2 linked regions of the Cricetulus griseus genome follow. The protein of the gene in region 1 binds, or shares a complex with, the protein of each later gene. Links are inferred from orthologs where the notes say so. Each region holds a gene or a part of one and is shown in the gene's direction. Other genes may lie near its edges.

Region 1 (7,406 bases):
ATTACTGTGACTGTGAAGTGTCCTCATGGTTCCTTGTTTACAAATATCTTTTTTTTTTCTTTGTCTATTTGTAGCTACGGCACCACAAGTTATTGTTCCTGATTCTAAGTTGATACAACATATGAATGCATCAAGTATTACGGTAAGACTTGAACATGACACTTACATTGGCTTCAGTTATTTAACTTAAAAATTGCAATTATTCCTATGTGTATTGTATTTAACAGTTTGAGGATTATGGAAGATTTGAGCAAAATAGCTGTTAGCCACAAATCTAAAGTGTAGCTTAATCTTAAACATTAAAGTTCATACAATTATGTAATTTTTTCCTTAATACCAAATACTCTTTGTGGTCAATACTTTATAGCTGTAGGGAATCAGCCAAGCATATACTGACACCTTCTGTTTCAGAAAGTTAGTTAGTTGTAAGAGGAGGGGAATGCTAACAATCCAGGAAAGCCATTTTTTTTTTAAATTTTATTAGTTATTTGAAAATTTCATATGTATTTTATTTATATTCACCCCCCTACTCCAACTCTTCCCAGATCCACCCCTTATCTTTTACCTGCCAACCCAAGTTTGTGTCTTCTGTTTTGTTTCTCTAAACCATCAAATCCAGCTGTGTTGCCCATGCACACACAGCATGTGGCTTTTCAAGGACACTGTTTCTAAAGTTTCATGTTTAAAAGAATCTTTGCTCTGACTTAAACATAATGCACAGTTTGTTTTCCTGTAATCTCTAAATTCATACCTTAAAATGCAAAACAAGACTAAGCAGGTTGGTATGCACTTGTGATCCCCAGTACTCAGGAGACAGAGGCAGGAGACTGACTTGATGTTGAAGACCAGCCTGTCTGGGCAGTAAGTTACAGACTAGAGAGACATACAGACATACAAGACTGCACTCAGAAAAAGAAAAGAAAAAGCCGACGAGTTACTAAAATGCGAAATTATATCCAGGATTTGTATCAATGTATGCAGGAAAAATACCATCAATAGACCTTTGGGTTCACATATACAAGGTAGAGAGTGTGTGTGTGTGCGAGTGCGCATGCACGCATATACACACAAGTATTTTAAATCCGGGGAAAATATCTGATGTTTGAGATAGTTCTGAAACTTTTGGATAAGAAACACTCATCTCATTACATATTTTACCTAGATTGTTGTGTCAGTGTGTTCATGCTCCTTTTAGATAATGTGGCATCTTAGAAAAATTGCCAGTTATAGAAACCAAGGAATTCTTCAGATTGTCTTTTAGGGGGAGACCTGTTGATTTTGGGAGAAATGTAAAAATGAAGAAACAAGGATGGCTTGACTTTGGCCTTAAGTATATTATTGAAGCAGGAAATTGGGTGTAAGGAACCAAACAGTGGAAGGATGGCAGTCATGGAATGGTGTCCTCACGGTACAACTTTACTGTGAGTGCATGTATTTCTAAAAACATACTGAGTCTGTGAGAGCTTGAATCAGGAGGTTGCTTAGAGTAAGTTCTTTAGGGGAGCCAGACCATTAGACTTACAATTTCTTGAAAGACTTGAATAGGTTATTTAGGCTCTCTTGCCACATGAGCGCACCCTGTTGTTCGAGTGCCTTTCAGTCAGTTCTCCATGCGCTGTAAAGTACACTACAGATAAACTGAGGTCTACTTGGCGCGCACTCGTAGATACGACTTTCCCTTTGTTTTTCTTCTTGCAGAGTGCTGCTGCTACGGCTGCCACCTTGGCCCTCCCTGCAGGCGTGACTCCCGTTCAGCAGATACTAACAAATTCAGGTAATCAGAACAAGGAAAGCGGCTTAAATATTGTTCAGAAACTAACACCAAGTAGCTCTTAATGTTTTATTGTCACTGAAGGGAGGCAGTACTGACGCTTGTTAAGATCATTTGAGGGCTATAGGATATAGAATTGTAGTCTTTGTTGAGGGTATAATTGAAAAAATCAAAGTTGTAGCCAGGTGTGTGGTAGCACACATAATCGCAGCAGTTGGGATTTGGAGGCGGGATCAGATGTTCAATGCCATCCTAGGTTTCATAATGAGTTTGAGCCCAACTGAAACCCTGATTCAAAAAAGAAAAAAAAAGGTGTTGGTGGCGCACGCCTTTAATCCCAGCACTCGGGAGGCAGAGACAGGCAGATCTCTGAGTTCGAGGCCAGCCTGGTCTCCAGAGCGAGTGCCTGAATAGGCTCCAAAGCTACACAGAGAAACCCTGTCTCGAAAAACAAAAAAAAAAAAAAAAAAAAATCTAAAATTGGGCTGGAGAGATGGCTCAGAGGTTAAGAGCAGGCGCTGCTCTTCCAGAGGTCCCGAGTTCAATTCCCAGCAACCACATGGTGGCTCACAACCTTCTGTAATGAGATCTGTTGCCCTCTTCTGGCCTGCAGGCATATATGCAGACAGCATGCTGTATACATAATAAATAAATCAATCTTGAAAAAAAAAATTAAAACAGGAATTTAAAAAAAAAAATTTTTAATGGATCTTTTGTTCTGTGAATGAGAACCCTGCCTAAGTGGGATTACAGAGATATGGTTATTTTCTGAGATTGGCTTTTTTTTTTTTTTTTTTTAAACAAAGCATCTGTTTTGCTAAATGAAATATTTGAATTAATTTGTGATGATCAAATTAAATTCCACAGGACCTGAAGAGCTGATTCATTGTGTACTTTTAGAGAATGTACTGTCTTTGCAGTTATGCCAAATACATATTTCCATCTTATCTTTGGAACACTTAAATAGACTGTTATATAGCCTGATCTTTATATTATTTATTGATTGATTGTCTGTAATTTCTAAATTTGTGCAGAACCAATTAGGGCTTTGCCCTCATTTATTTATTTATTTATTTATTTATTTATTTATCTATCTATCTATCTATCTATTTATTTTTTGGTTTTTCGAGACAGGGTTTCTCTGCAGCTTTGGAGCCTTCATGGAATTCGCTCTGTAGATCAGGCTGGCCTCGAACTCATGGAGATTAGCCTGCCTCTACCTCCCAAGTGCTGAGATTAAAGTTGTGCGCCACCACTGCCAGCCTAGGGCTTTGTCTTCTTTTGGAAGTATATGAGGCTATTCTGTGTATTATATATTATTCATAATTACAGCAGTTCTAATTGTTTTAGCAAATTTTCATTGCTTGTTGAAAATTTGAAGCAAAGCCCTGTGCTTTGGTTTAAGATACAAACAAAATGTTATACCTTTGTGTCTGCCTCTGCCTCCCAAGTGCTGGGATTAAAGGTGTGCGCCACCAACGCCTGGCTTTCTAATACTGTTTACTACACTTTCTTGACTGTTATCATGTGAGAAAAAGTAATTAAGGCAATCTTTAAGTCTTTTAATTTTGTGTGGCTATTTTACCTGCTTGTTTGTGCATCACATGCTTGTAGTTCCTTGGGAGTCTAGAAGAGGCCACCACATTCCCTAGAACCGGAGTTAGAGCTGGCTGTCAGCCACCATGTGGGTGCTGGGAATGGAACCTCCGTTCTCTGGGAGAGCATCTAGTGCTTGTAACTGCTGAGTTACTTCGATAGTCTCTTAATCAAATTTTACAACCTGTTGTTAAAGCTTTATTGGTAATAAGCTAAAGAAGGGGCTGGAGAGTGGCTTAGCGGTTAATAGCACTGCCTGTTCTTCCAGAGGACCTGGGTTCAATTCTCAGCACCCACCTGACAGCTCACAACTGTCTGTAACTCCAGTTCTAGGGGATCCAACACCTTCACACAGACATACATGCAGGTAAAACACCAATGCATGTAAAAAAAAAAAAAAAAAGCTAATGAAGATAATAAATATGGGAAAACATTTGGACATAGAGGGAAATTGGGAACTATAGTGGTTGTAGTTTATCATGTATAGTTGATAGCCCTTAGTAAAATAGTTAGTCTTCTAATTTGGTAAATATTTTGGTTCTTTGGCTTGAAAGCAACATAAACTCATTTCCTTGTGTATTAATTGCTGCTGAAATAGCAACTTGGTCTATATTCTTTTTTTTTTTTTTTTTTTTTTTTTTGCCTTAGGTCAGCTTCTTCAGGTGGTCCGAGCAGCCAATGGTGCCCAATATATCTTTCAACCTCAGCAGTCAGTTGTTCTACAACAACAAGTTATACCACAGATGCAGCCTGGTGGAGTACAGGCTCCTGTTATCCAGCAGGTAAAGAATTGTTACCATCCCCTGGGATCCAGCTGCTGCTCTTGCTGCTGCTGCTGCTGCTGCTGCTATAACTGTATGAATTTATCATGTGGTTCCCTACCCTTTTCCCCCTCAAGTTTACATACACAATAGTCAAAACAATCTTATTCTCAATTGTTGTTATTACTATTATTATAATTATAATCATCATTATCATTATTAGGCCTCCAAGCAAGTTACATCTCTCATGTTTAAAACTGAATTATTATTTGTTTCTGGCTTCTTGATCCCTCTTACTAGTTCCTAATAGGTGGTTTTGTTTGCCCTAGGTCTTGGCCCCACTTCCTGGAGGGATTTCACCACAGACAGGTGTCATCATCCAGCCACAGCAAATCTTATTTACAGGAAATAAGACTCAGGTCATCCCTACTACAGTGGCAGCACCCACACCAGCACAAGCGCAGATACCTGCCGCTGGCCAGCAGCAGCCACAGGCCCAGCCTGCTCAACAGCAAGCCCCATTGGTGCTGCAAGTTGATGGAACAGGGGATACGTCATCTGAGGAAGATGAAGATGAGGAAGAAGACTATGATGATGATGAGGAGGAAGATAAAGAGAAAGATGGAGCTGAAGATGGGCAGGTAGAAGAAGTAAGTTTCTAGTAAAAAGAGACTTGAAAAGAGAAGCCCCTCATCATTTATTGTTGTATTTAGGGCTAAACAGACAAATTAATATGCTATTTCTTCAGAGAGGTGGATGCTTGGACTCAGCTAGCTTTCTCTCCCCCAAACTCAGGGAGTATATCACCCACTCTGAGTATGGTTCTTCTACCTCAGTAACCACACCATCACAGTCCATCATAGGCATCCTCAGGAACTAGATTATCCATCCCTCATACATGGCCTAGAGGGCTGTCTCCTAGGCTGTTATAGGTCCTGTTAGGTTGATATTAACAGCAACTACCACAGGCTCCCTTTTTTTAAAAGGTATGTATATCAAATGGAAATTATATTAATAGGGATAGTACAGATCAAATTTCTTGTTATTATTCATAATGTGGTGGCTTAACCATAAGATAGTGGTAGAGCAGATGAATAGGATTGATCTTGTGTTTTAGTGATTAAAAAGGCATGGCATTGTTTGGGGAGAGAGGAAAGTGGAGAATAACTGAATGTGACAGCTCAAGCCCAAACCATCTTTTGGCCCATTCTGTACCAGGTCCTCAGTAATCTCATCTTCATGACTTTTTCTTGATGCCTGTGAACATGGTGTCACCAGTTTTTCAGCATAGTTACTATGTCCAAGGTGATGATTTGGCCCACTGTAATTTTCATGATTAATTGCTTTGTGATAAAATGGAATCATTTTTCTTTTAAATCTTAATACAAAATTCTGTTTCGTTTTACTGATTTGTATTCATTTATTATTATTTTTAAGGTTTCTTTTTTTAAAATTTTTTAAATCCCAATCCCAGTTTCTCCTCCCTCCTTTCCTCCCACTCCCTCCACTCCCCCCTCTTCCCATCTGTTCCATGGAGAGGGTAAGGCCTCCCCTAGGAAGTCTACTAAGTCTGCCCCATCATCTTGTTGAGGCAGGACCAAGGCACCTCTCCACCCCCCACCCCTGGGTCTAAGCTGGCGTGGTATCTCTCGGTATAGAATGGGCTCCACTAAGTGTATTCATTTATTATTTTGGTGTTTTTGTTTTGTTTTGTTTTGTTTTTGAGAGTTTCACACTGTAGTCTAGGCTGCAGGTCTGGAACTCATTATATAGCCCATATTGGCCTTGAGCTTGTGGCAAGCCTCCTGGTTCAGCCTCCCAAGTATTATAGATGTGAGCCATTTTATAGGCCTAAACATTTTTTTCTTCTAAATAGTTAAAGATAGTTTATTAAATATCTGAGGAATCAAAGTGGCTAGAATATTTTAAACTATGGCTATCCTGGCATGCACCAGTGAGGTGAAACTGTTTTCCATTACTAAAATGTTTTGGTGTCTCTTCCCTGACACATCTCTTCCTTCTGCTTTCAAAGCATCTGCACCAGACTGTATGATCAACTTGTCTTTGTATTTCAATGTATGTTTATATTTCCAAAGGTATGCTGCGTGAATAGTATAAGTGCAATATTTTTAATGTAGCTTCTGTTATTTTTTCTTAAAATGGTAGTCCTGAGGTTCAGTCAGGTTGTTGCATATAACTAGTTATTTTTACTGTTGACTGTACCATTATTTGATTATCCTTTTTTGGATCCATTGAACATGTGGGTGACTTCTAATTCTTTACTGCATTCTAAAATATTCTTAAATGTGTTCTGGGAACTCCTGTGTATTTCTCTTCAGTATTATACATGAACATGGATTTGCCAACTTACTGCACTGACTCTATTCTGCCATTTTTGTCTATAATTTGTAGATGTCAACATGTCATCACTTCTTAATATTGGCAGACTGTTGAATTTTTCCAGTCTGGTAGAAAATTGTGTCTTGGTTTGGTTTTAGTTTGAACTTCTTGAATGCTTTAGGAGCTTCAGCCCCTTTTCATGTATTTACTTGTTGTTTGTATTTTCTTGTGTTTTTATTATGTGGAAGTACTTACTTTGCATTGTCTTTAGCCCTTTCCCAAGGTTTTGATCCTTCCCCAAGTGACATTGCATTACGTTTCTCCTGCTTGCTCATGTTATACATATGTGTAGTATAGAACTTCTAATACTCACCACTGAGCCAGCCTGATGCCTTTTGTATTAATGCCTTTGTTGATTCTTTTGTTTTCCATATAGATGGATCTTCTTTTAATGGTCTGTTATTAAGTATATTTATTGTTGTTTTCTGTGGATGTCTTTTAGGTCTGAAAGAATTCACTCTCTTTGTAATTAACTAAGTTCTTTGCTTTTTTTTTTAAACTATAAGGAAATGTATTTTATTATTAAATGTTTTTCTGCAACCATTAGATAGTCAGAGAATCTTATTCAGACTGTCATATATGAATTTCATTGATTGGTCTTAATATGCAAACCAGTCTTGAGTTCCCAATAGGACCCAGCTTGGTCACTGAACGTTGTTCTCTCTGTAACTGCTAGACCCGGGCTGATGCCAGTTTGTGTCCGTGTGCCTGAGTGCTTCTGTCACCTTGTTCTCCATACTCTTCTCAGCAGCTCTCAGTCATGTTAATAGGATCCTCATGAGCCAATTTGGACTTTCTTATTTTAAAACCGATACTAATCTTTTCTGTATTTGTTTTTGTTATTTTTAATTTTAAATTTATTGTTGTTTTTGAGACGG
Region 2 (7,977 bases), on another chromosome or scaffold:
CACTATCTGACCCCTCTGTGTTGGGTGTCTTGGTGCTCTGCTGTCATTAATAAACCTGCCGTGACTGCTGAGGCTCTGAGAAAGAGTGAATCCAGGGGACCCTTGATGGGGCTGGGGTTTGACCAAGGACTAGGGCCACCAGCATGTCCTCTCTGCAGTGCCTTCCCTTGTTAGTTGTTTAAACTCCCAACTGCAGCCCCAGTACTGCTCCCCACACTCCTCCATCCTATAAGCTTGGAGCCTGATGACTCTTTCCAGCTGGAAGCAGCCACCGCACAGAGCCCCTGTGCTTGGGTGTCCTTCCAGACCACACAGCAGAGCAGAGCTGGGTCACAGTGTCCCTGTCCATCTTCTAAGGGATAGCAGGTCACATTGCCTGTGACTCTGCTCAGGATTGGAGAGGGGTGTGGGACTGTGATGGGAAGTTGATTGGGAGTGGGGTGAGTAGGACGTGAGTGGGTAGCCCTCCTGTCACGTCCTTCCTTTCCTCAGGACACCCAGGCCACATGTTGTGTTTCCATGGCTGAAGCTTTCGGGTGTAGCGTGGGCAGGGCCTTCAGGCTTTTGAAGAAAGAGCCTAGGAGGTATTTATCTAGACTAGCAGCTCTCAAACTATGGGTGGCGACCTCTGGGGGTTGAATGACACCTTCACAGGGGTCTCCTAAGACCATCGGAAATATCAGATATTTACATTATGATTCGTAATAGTAGAAAAATTAGTTATGAAATAGCAATGAAAATAATTTTACAGTTGGGGGGTCACCACAACATGAGGAACTGTGTTAAAGGGTCCAGCATCTGGAAGGTGGTTGAGAACCACTGGTCTAGACAGATTCAACCGAGGTCTTCACTCCCAGGATGCATCTAAATGAGAATCCTCTCCACAGCCACGCCCCCTGGCTGCAGTTCTGCTCTTGCCACACAGGGAAGAACAGAGGGCATTCAGCTCCTAATTCAAGCTGTGTGTAATTCGTATTTTTCCCCGGAAGAGTTAAGACAGGATTTGTCTTATAGCCTCAAATTCATTATATAGCCAAGGATGACCTTAAAATCTTGATTTTAGCCGGGTGTTGGTGGCGCACGCCTTTAATCCCAGCACTTGGGAGGCAGAGGCAGGCAGATCTCTGTGAGTTCGAGGCCAGCCTGGTCTCCAGAGCAAGTGCCAGGATAGGCTCCAAAGCTACACAGAGAAACCTTATCTCAACCCCCCCCCCAAAAAAAAGGAGAAGAAAAAAAAGAAAGAAATCCTGATCTTCCTGCCTCCACCTCCAAGTTCTGGGGTTACAGGTATGAGCCCTGCAGAGTTTGTGTAGAGGTGGGCATTAAACCTAAGGCTCCATGTGGATGCAGCAAGCACTTTGCAAGAGAGCCACACCTCTAGCCCCTTTATTTCTGAGACAGTGTCTCTTGTGGTCCAGGCTGGCCTCAAACTCAACTCTCTAGCTGAGGATGGCCTTGAACTCCTGATCCTCCTGACTCCATCCCCACAGTGTTGACATTACAGGTCTGAGCCACCACACCTGAATTTAAAGCATATGCTCAAAATTGCACTTGGGCTGGCGGTGCAGTTCAGTGGTAGGACACTTGCCTGGCTGGCGGTGCAGTTCAGTGGTAGGACACTTGCCTGGCATACATAAGGCCCTACGTCATAAACGGTTCGACCAACACAAACAATAATTAAGTGGTACTGGTCAAGGCATGGCCTGATTTCTCATTGTCTCAGCTCTGGTTTGAAGAGTCAAGCTCCTTCCCATGAGATAACTCCTCCTCCTCATGGGGTAATCTGCCTTCAAAGCTCTGCTTTTCCTAGAATCAAAGGTGACTACAAGCTTAGGGCTGTGACTGGAGAACCTTGGATGACTTCCTGCTCTTCCTCCCCCTTCTTCTTCTGAGTTTGAAAGGAGACATAAAAGCCGAGGAAGATGCCTGCATTATCTTTGTGCCTTCTGCCTTGAAGGAGGATGAGCTGGGCTAGGTATCAATGGTCCTTAGGTAGACACTCCAGGGATAACAAGTCAATATGCAGAGCAAGGGGGAGCATGATGTGATTGGTGTTTGAAGGGTTCCAAAGCCCTCTGGCACCTGGCATTGTCTTCACTTGTCCCCTGGTGGCACTGCCATCTTCCATGTTATACAGTGAAGTTTTAGTGCTCATGTACCAATGGCTAGGCTGGCTCATACCTGTTACTCCAAAGACTAGGAGACTGAGTTATTGTTCCTGTTGCTGTGTCTACAAACCCGACAGAAGCATCCTCAGGAAGGGTTGGGATGTCATAGCAACAGGAGTGCCAGGCAGCTGATCACATTGCCACCTGCATCCAGGAAGCAGAACAAGATGGTTTCCTTTCCTCTTTTATTCAGTCTGAGGGCTTAGCCTCTAGGATGGCATCATGCACGTGGTGAGTCCTTAATGGTGAGTCCTTAATGGTGAGTCCTTCCTTCCTCAGTTAAACCTGTCTAGAATCTCACCAACACACTCAGAAGTTTTTGTTTTGTTTTGTTTGTATATACATTGTGTGTACACAGGGAGGTCAGAGGAATTGGTTCTCAACTTCTCCCACATGGGTCCTGGGGATTGAACTCATGTAGTCAGGCTTGGTGACACTATCTTTACCCACTGGACTGTCCTGCTGGCCCACTTGTCTGTTTCCACAATGATACTAAATCTCATCAGGTTGACAAAATGAACCATCATGGAGGCTGGAGAAATAGCTCAGCAGTTAAAGACTGACTACTCTTTCAGGACTAGAGTTGGGTTCCCAGCACCTCCAAGGCTGGTCTCCAAAGGCTCCTGTATGTACGTTCTGCACAGACAGGCAGATAGAAATCTTTAAAAATAGGAAAAATAGCCACAATAGCCACAAAGACGGCTGAAAAGCAGAGAGGTGCCAGGCTGTCATTGTTTTTTGGTTACCTGTGTGTCCAACAGAGGATCCGCTGGCACCCTGTCACTTTTACACACCTTCCTGCTCCTCATCCAGCCAGCCGGGGTCCTGCAGCAGCAGCTCATACACATACACAGCTTGGATTCCAGCTCAGTGAGCCAGTTGCAGGTGGCCCAGCCTTCCCTCGCTGGAATATGCGCCAAAGAGCCGCCTGGTGAAAGCCACTTTTTTTTTTTTCTTTTTGTTTGTTTTGTTTTCAAGACAGGGTTTCTCTGTGTTGTTTTGAAGCCTATCCTGGCACTCACTCTGTAGACTAGGCTGTCCTCGAAACCACAGAGATCCGCTTGGCTCTGCCTCCTGTGCTGGGAGGTGCTGCCCCTGGGGTTTGGACAGGATTTCTAACCTGCTCCGCCTCGCCTGCTCGTGCCTGCCGAAGGTCATCCGGTCCACCAGGGGGCGCGGGGCCAGGGGCTTTGATTGGCTGTGTCCTCGTGACCCGGAAGTGGTCGCGGTCCGGAGCTCAGTGTGGTAACGGCGGCTGCGGCTTGAGTCTGGGAGCCGGAGCGCACCTCTAGGATGAACGCTCCTCCGGCCTTCGAGTCGTTCTTGCTCTTCGAGGGCGAGAAGAAGTAAGTGGAGGCCGTTAGCTCTGGCGCGGTGAGCACTGTGCTTCGTGCGCGTCTGCCGAACTTCAGGCGGTGGTGCGATGTACGCCTGTGTTACAGCGGGGAAACTGAGGCCGGGGCACGTCGAGCCCTTGCTCCAGACACTTAGGAAGTGTCGGGGACTGTATTCGAACTCAGAGTGTCAGGCTCCCTTTTCACTGGTCTGCAGCCCCATTATCCATGCTGCGCAGCGATGGCTTTAGAGCTCACCCCCCTGCATAGGGTGCGATCGCCTGTGATTCCAGGACTTGGCGACTGAGGCAGGAGGATAATGATGGTAGCGGTGAAGGGACCGAGACACAGCTACCCTCTCACACTCCTCAGCAGCCTGAGGATTTCCTCTAGATTTTCAGGGATCTCGGCCAAACTCAGGTTCGTGGCTTCAACACTAGAAAGAATTTCAGGACTCGACGGTTTAATGACGCACTCAGGAGGCACAGGCAGACGGATCTCTGAGTTCAAGGCCAGCCTGGTCTATAGAGGTAGTTCCAGGACCAAGAGAAATCCCGTTCTGAAAAAGAAAAAAGGAGCAATCCTGTGTGGGAAAGGGTCCTTGGTGTGTATAGATAAGGTGCCATCACGGAGTAGAGAAGGTTCCTTGTTTTTTTGTTTTGGTCATGCTGGGGACTGGACCCAGGGTCTGGCCCATGCTAGGTTACTGCTCTATCAATAAGCTACACTCGAGCTTTTTTTTTTTTTTTGTAGTTTTCTTTTGGTTTTTCAAAACAGGGTTTCCTCTGTGTTGCTCTGGCTGTCCTGGAACTCGCTCTGTAGTGCAGGCTGGCTTCGAAGTCACAGAGATCCTCCTGCCTCTGCCTCCCAAGCGCTGGATCAAAGGTGTGCTCCACCACTGCCTGGCTCACTCCAGCTCCCCCTGCCCAACATTTGCTAGGCTGGGGAGATGGCTCAGTGGGTCACAGCTCAAAGCATTTGCTGAGGATTGGTGTGGATCTCCAGAAGCCGTGTCAAAGCTGTGCAATGTGCCTACTTCATTGCTCCTCCAGGGACGTGGAAGTGTAGATAGGAGTCAGCCAGCATGGTCTGTCAAGGAAGGCAAGGATGACAGTGTTTTTCTCTGCCCTCCTGCCCCCGTCACTGGGATTACTAGTCCCAGTGACTAGTCCCAGCAGGCCTACCTTGCTTGTTTTGTTTGGAGGGGGAGTGAGTGGTAGGATGAAACCCAGAGCCTTAAAAATTTGAGATAAATGGTGACCCATTGAACCATGCCAGAGCTCTCAGAGAGCCCTTTGGGGCGAGCAGACTGGGGATAGTGGGACTTGCAGAATGATGGCCTCCCTTGAATTGTTAGGGGGTTTGGAGACAAGCTGTTTTCTGTCTTCTAGGAAAGAATTTAGTCAAGAGCTAGTTTAAGACAACCAATTTGTATGAGGGAAAGAGCTGGATGTTTTTGTTTCTGGGGTAGTGGGAACAGCCCAACTGCAGTTTCTAGAATGTTTGATCACAAAGGGGACACCGATTTGAGAATCAGTGTCAGCATCACAAGAGCTGGATGTGGGGCCAGGGAAAGCTATCACCCTCAGCCTTTGCCTGTCTCATTGTAGAATCACCATTAACAAGGACACAAAGGTGCCCAATGCTTGCCTGTTCACCATCAACAAAGAAGACCACACTCTGGGGAACATCATCAAATCGTAAGTCCCAGGCCAGAGGCCTCGAGTGTCACCAGAGCTCTGTAGGCTGAGCACATGCCCTGGGACGGTTCCTTCCGTCTCTCCGCAGCTTGCTGGCACTTTAACCTGTCACTGACAGGTCTGTTCACATGCGGCTTGCTTTTGTTGGCTTTTTGATGTAGGGGTTCATGTAGTGTAGACTGGACTCAAACTGACTCACCTTACCATGGTTGCCGGGATCCTGGCCACGTAACACGTAACACATCAGCTTCCTGTTGGCTCATTCATGTAGTGTATAAGTTTGCAGTTGCCTCTTGGTCTTTTGGCCAAGATCAAGTTCAGGGGACTCCAGCAAAGCAGGTTTTCATTTTAGTGGGCATCAAGATGCTAAGAGGTGATGGGTATGGTGGTACACACCTGTAATTCCAGCACTCGGGAGGCAGAGGCAGATGGAGTACTTGTGAGTTCAGAGCCAGCCTGGTCTACATAGTAAGCTCTAGGACAGCCAGTTACATACAGTATCTCAAAAAGATAAAGCAAAGGGGGCCAGCAGTGTCACCTCACTTACCCCTACATTTGATAGAAAGCTGCAGGCATCGGCAGATTACCAAACTTTTGTTACTGGGTGATTGCCAGTGCTTTCAGAGCTGGGGGGGTGACAGACGGTCCCCACCTGACATGAGTGCTGGGAATTGACTCTGGCTCCTCTCCAAGAGCAATACTTTCTTTAAATTTAAAACACCTTTTGCCTATGTATGTCTACCGTGTGTCTGTTACCCATGAAGGTCAGAAAGAACTAGATCCCTTGGAGCTGGAGGTACAGGTGGTTAGATGCCACATGGGTGCTGGAAACCTTTTAACTAATCCAGTTCTCCAGCCTTCCCTGCATGTAATGTGCTGGGTCTGGTGGTTTGTGCCTTTAACCACAGCAGGCAGATCTCTGTAAGTTCAAAGCCAGCTTGGCCTACATTGAGTTCCAGGATAGCCAGGACTGTTAAGGAAACCCTGTCTGGAAAAACCAAAAAATATATTGTGAATGTAGTGTCTGAGTAGGGCTAGAAGAGGGTGTTGGATCCGTGGAGCTGGAGTTGTGAATTGTGTGCCACCTGCCGGAGGCACTGGAAACCAAATGCAGATTCTCTAAGGAGCAATAGGTGCTCCACCACTGTGCTGTTTTTCTCTAGCCCAACCTGTAACTCTTGTATGGGTATGTTTTTCTACACATGTCTGTATAACATATGGTGCCCTTGCATGCCATAAGAGGATGTTGGAGACCCCAGGACTGGAGTTGTGAGCCACCATGTGGCTGCTGGGAATTAGATCAAGGTCCTTTAGAGAAACAGCCAGTTCTCTTAACTGCTGAGCCATCGCGCCGACCTCCCATCCTACAACTCTTCAGTTATATAAGGCAGGGGCCAGTTAGAGCCCATGACGTTAGGCTCTCCACTTCCCTCAGCTTTGTGGAAAGGGGCCCTGTATATGAACAGCCACCTGGGGACTGTCAAGAGCCTGGCCCTGTTCTTCTTCCCACTGCTACCTGCTTGCTGTACCTAGAAATGGGGCCTTGTATTCTGGCTACTTCAACCCTGGCCAGATGTTTTGGCCTAGGTACAGTCCACAGCCACTGTCATAGGTTCTCAACTTCTATGAAGGATGCCACCCCAGCTAGGGTCCTTGATCTTGTAGTCAGCAGGGTTCCTTCCCATATGGTCTTAGGTCCCCTTAACTTGATTCCCTCCCCCAGTGCTGGGAGGAACCTCTAGCATGTAGACACGCACTCTACCATTAAGCTGCATCCCCAGTCCTTTATTTTTTAAATTGTTCTCACTAAATTGGGTAGGCTGGCCTTGAACTTAGTATTCCTGAGCAGCTGGATTGCCAGGCCTGATCTCCCTCACAGTACACCTGTTTCTCAGCCAGCTGTTGAAGGACCCACAGGTGCTGTTTGCTGGCTACAAAGTCCCCCACCCCTTGGAGCACAAGATCATCATTCGTGTGCAGACCACTCCAGACTACAGTCCTCAGGAGGCCTTCACCAATGCCATCACAGACCTCATCAGTGAGCTCTCTCTGCTGGAGGAACGATTCCGGGTAAGCAGCTGGGCAGGGACTTGTGAATTGTGTTGATTCAGCAGCAGAGCTGGCCCCGTCCCCAACTAGCATCCCCCAATCAGGGTCCGAGACATAACTTAGTGGTACATTGTTTGCCTAGCACAATCAAGGCCTTAGGTACCATCTTCAGCATCAAAAACCATAACCAAAATCTCTCCCCTTTGCCACTGGCTCTTCTGGCTCATAAGGCTTCTGAGACTCCTGAGGGAATCTTCATCCCAGGATGGGAGTCGCAGTTATTGGTCAGGGACCCTCACCTTTTGAGATTTTCATCTCACTTGGCTCCATCCCTAGCCCTCAGCAAACAGGTGCCTCAGAGCAGGGAAGGTGGAACCTGCTGAAGCACCTGCACCCTGGAGCCTTTGGGTACTGGTCTGCCTTGTGTGATAGTCTCTGGAGAACTTCTAGAAGGACTGCAGTGCCAGGTTCCTGGTGCCACACAAGCAGGGGATACTGGGGTCATTCCATGTAGTCACTGCCATTGTCCTTCCTCTTCAGGTGGCCATCAAGGACAAGCAAGAAGGAATTGAGTAGCAGCTAAAAGGAGCATTGCTTAATGGCTGGAAGGCTGGTGCACACACCCTCAGGCTCCTTTCAGTATTCTCGATAACAGCCACCCTCTCCTCTCTGTAGCTGGATGTTGCCCTGTTCTGTATATAGATTGCTATTTTCCTAATAAAGTAC

Evidence for each region.
Region 2: Gtf2a1 (region 1) and DNA-directed RNA polymerase II subunit RPB11-a share a complex: the UniProt entries of both Homo sapiens proteins name them as parts of the TBP-based Pol II pre-initiation complex. The link is inferred for Cricetulus griseus from reciprocal best matches to the Homo sapiens genes GTF2A1 and POLR2J.

What each region holds. Positions count from the first base shown.
Region 1 is NC_048598.1:113,328,650-113,336,055, forward strand, and holds part of Gtf2a1 (transcription initiation factor IIA subunit 1), read left to right. Parts: intron 1-74; coding exon 75-142; intron 143-1,698; coding exon 1,699-1,774; intron 1,775-4,015; coding exon 4,016-4,149; intron 4,150-4,457; coding exon 4,458-4,778; intron 4,779-7,406. UniProt on the Homo sapiens protein: TFIIA is a component of the transcription machinery of RNA polymerase II and plays an important role in transcriptional activation. TFIIA in a complex with TBP mediates transcriptional activity.
Region 2 is NC_048597.1:115,109,099-115,117,075, forward strand, and holds the start of DNA-directed RNA polymerase II subunit RPB11-a, read left to right. Parts: upstream 1-3,357; 5' UTR 3,358-3,461; coding exon 3,462-3,514; intron 3,515-5,112; coding exon 5,113-5,202; intron 5,203-6,966; exon of another isoform or gene 6,967-7,097; coding exon 7,098-7,272; exon of another isoform or gene 7,273-7,791; coding exon 7,792-7,827; 3' UTR 7,828-7,977. UniProt on the Homo sapiens protein: Core component of RNA polymerase II (Pol II), a DNA-dependent RNA polymerase which synthesizes mRNA precursors and many functional non-coding RNAs using the four ribonucleoside triphosphates as substrates.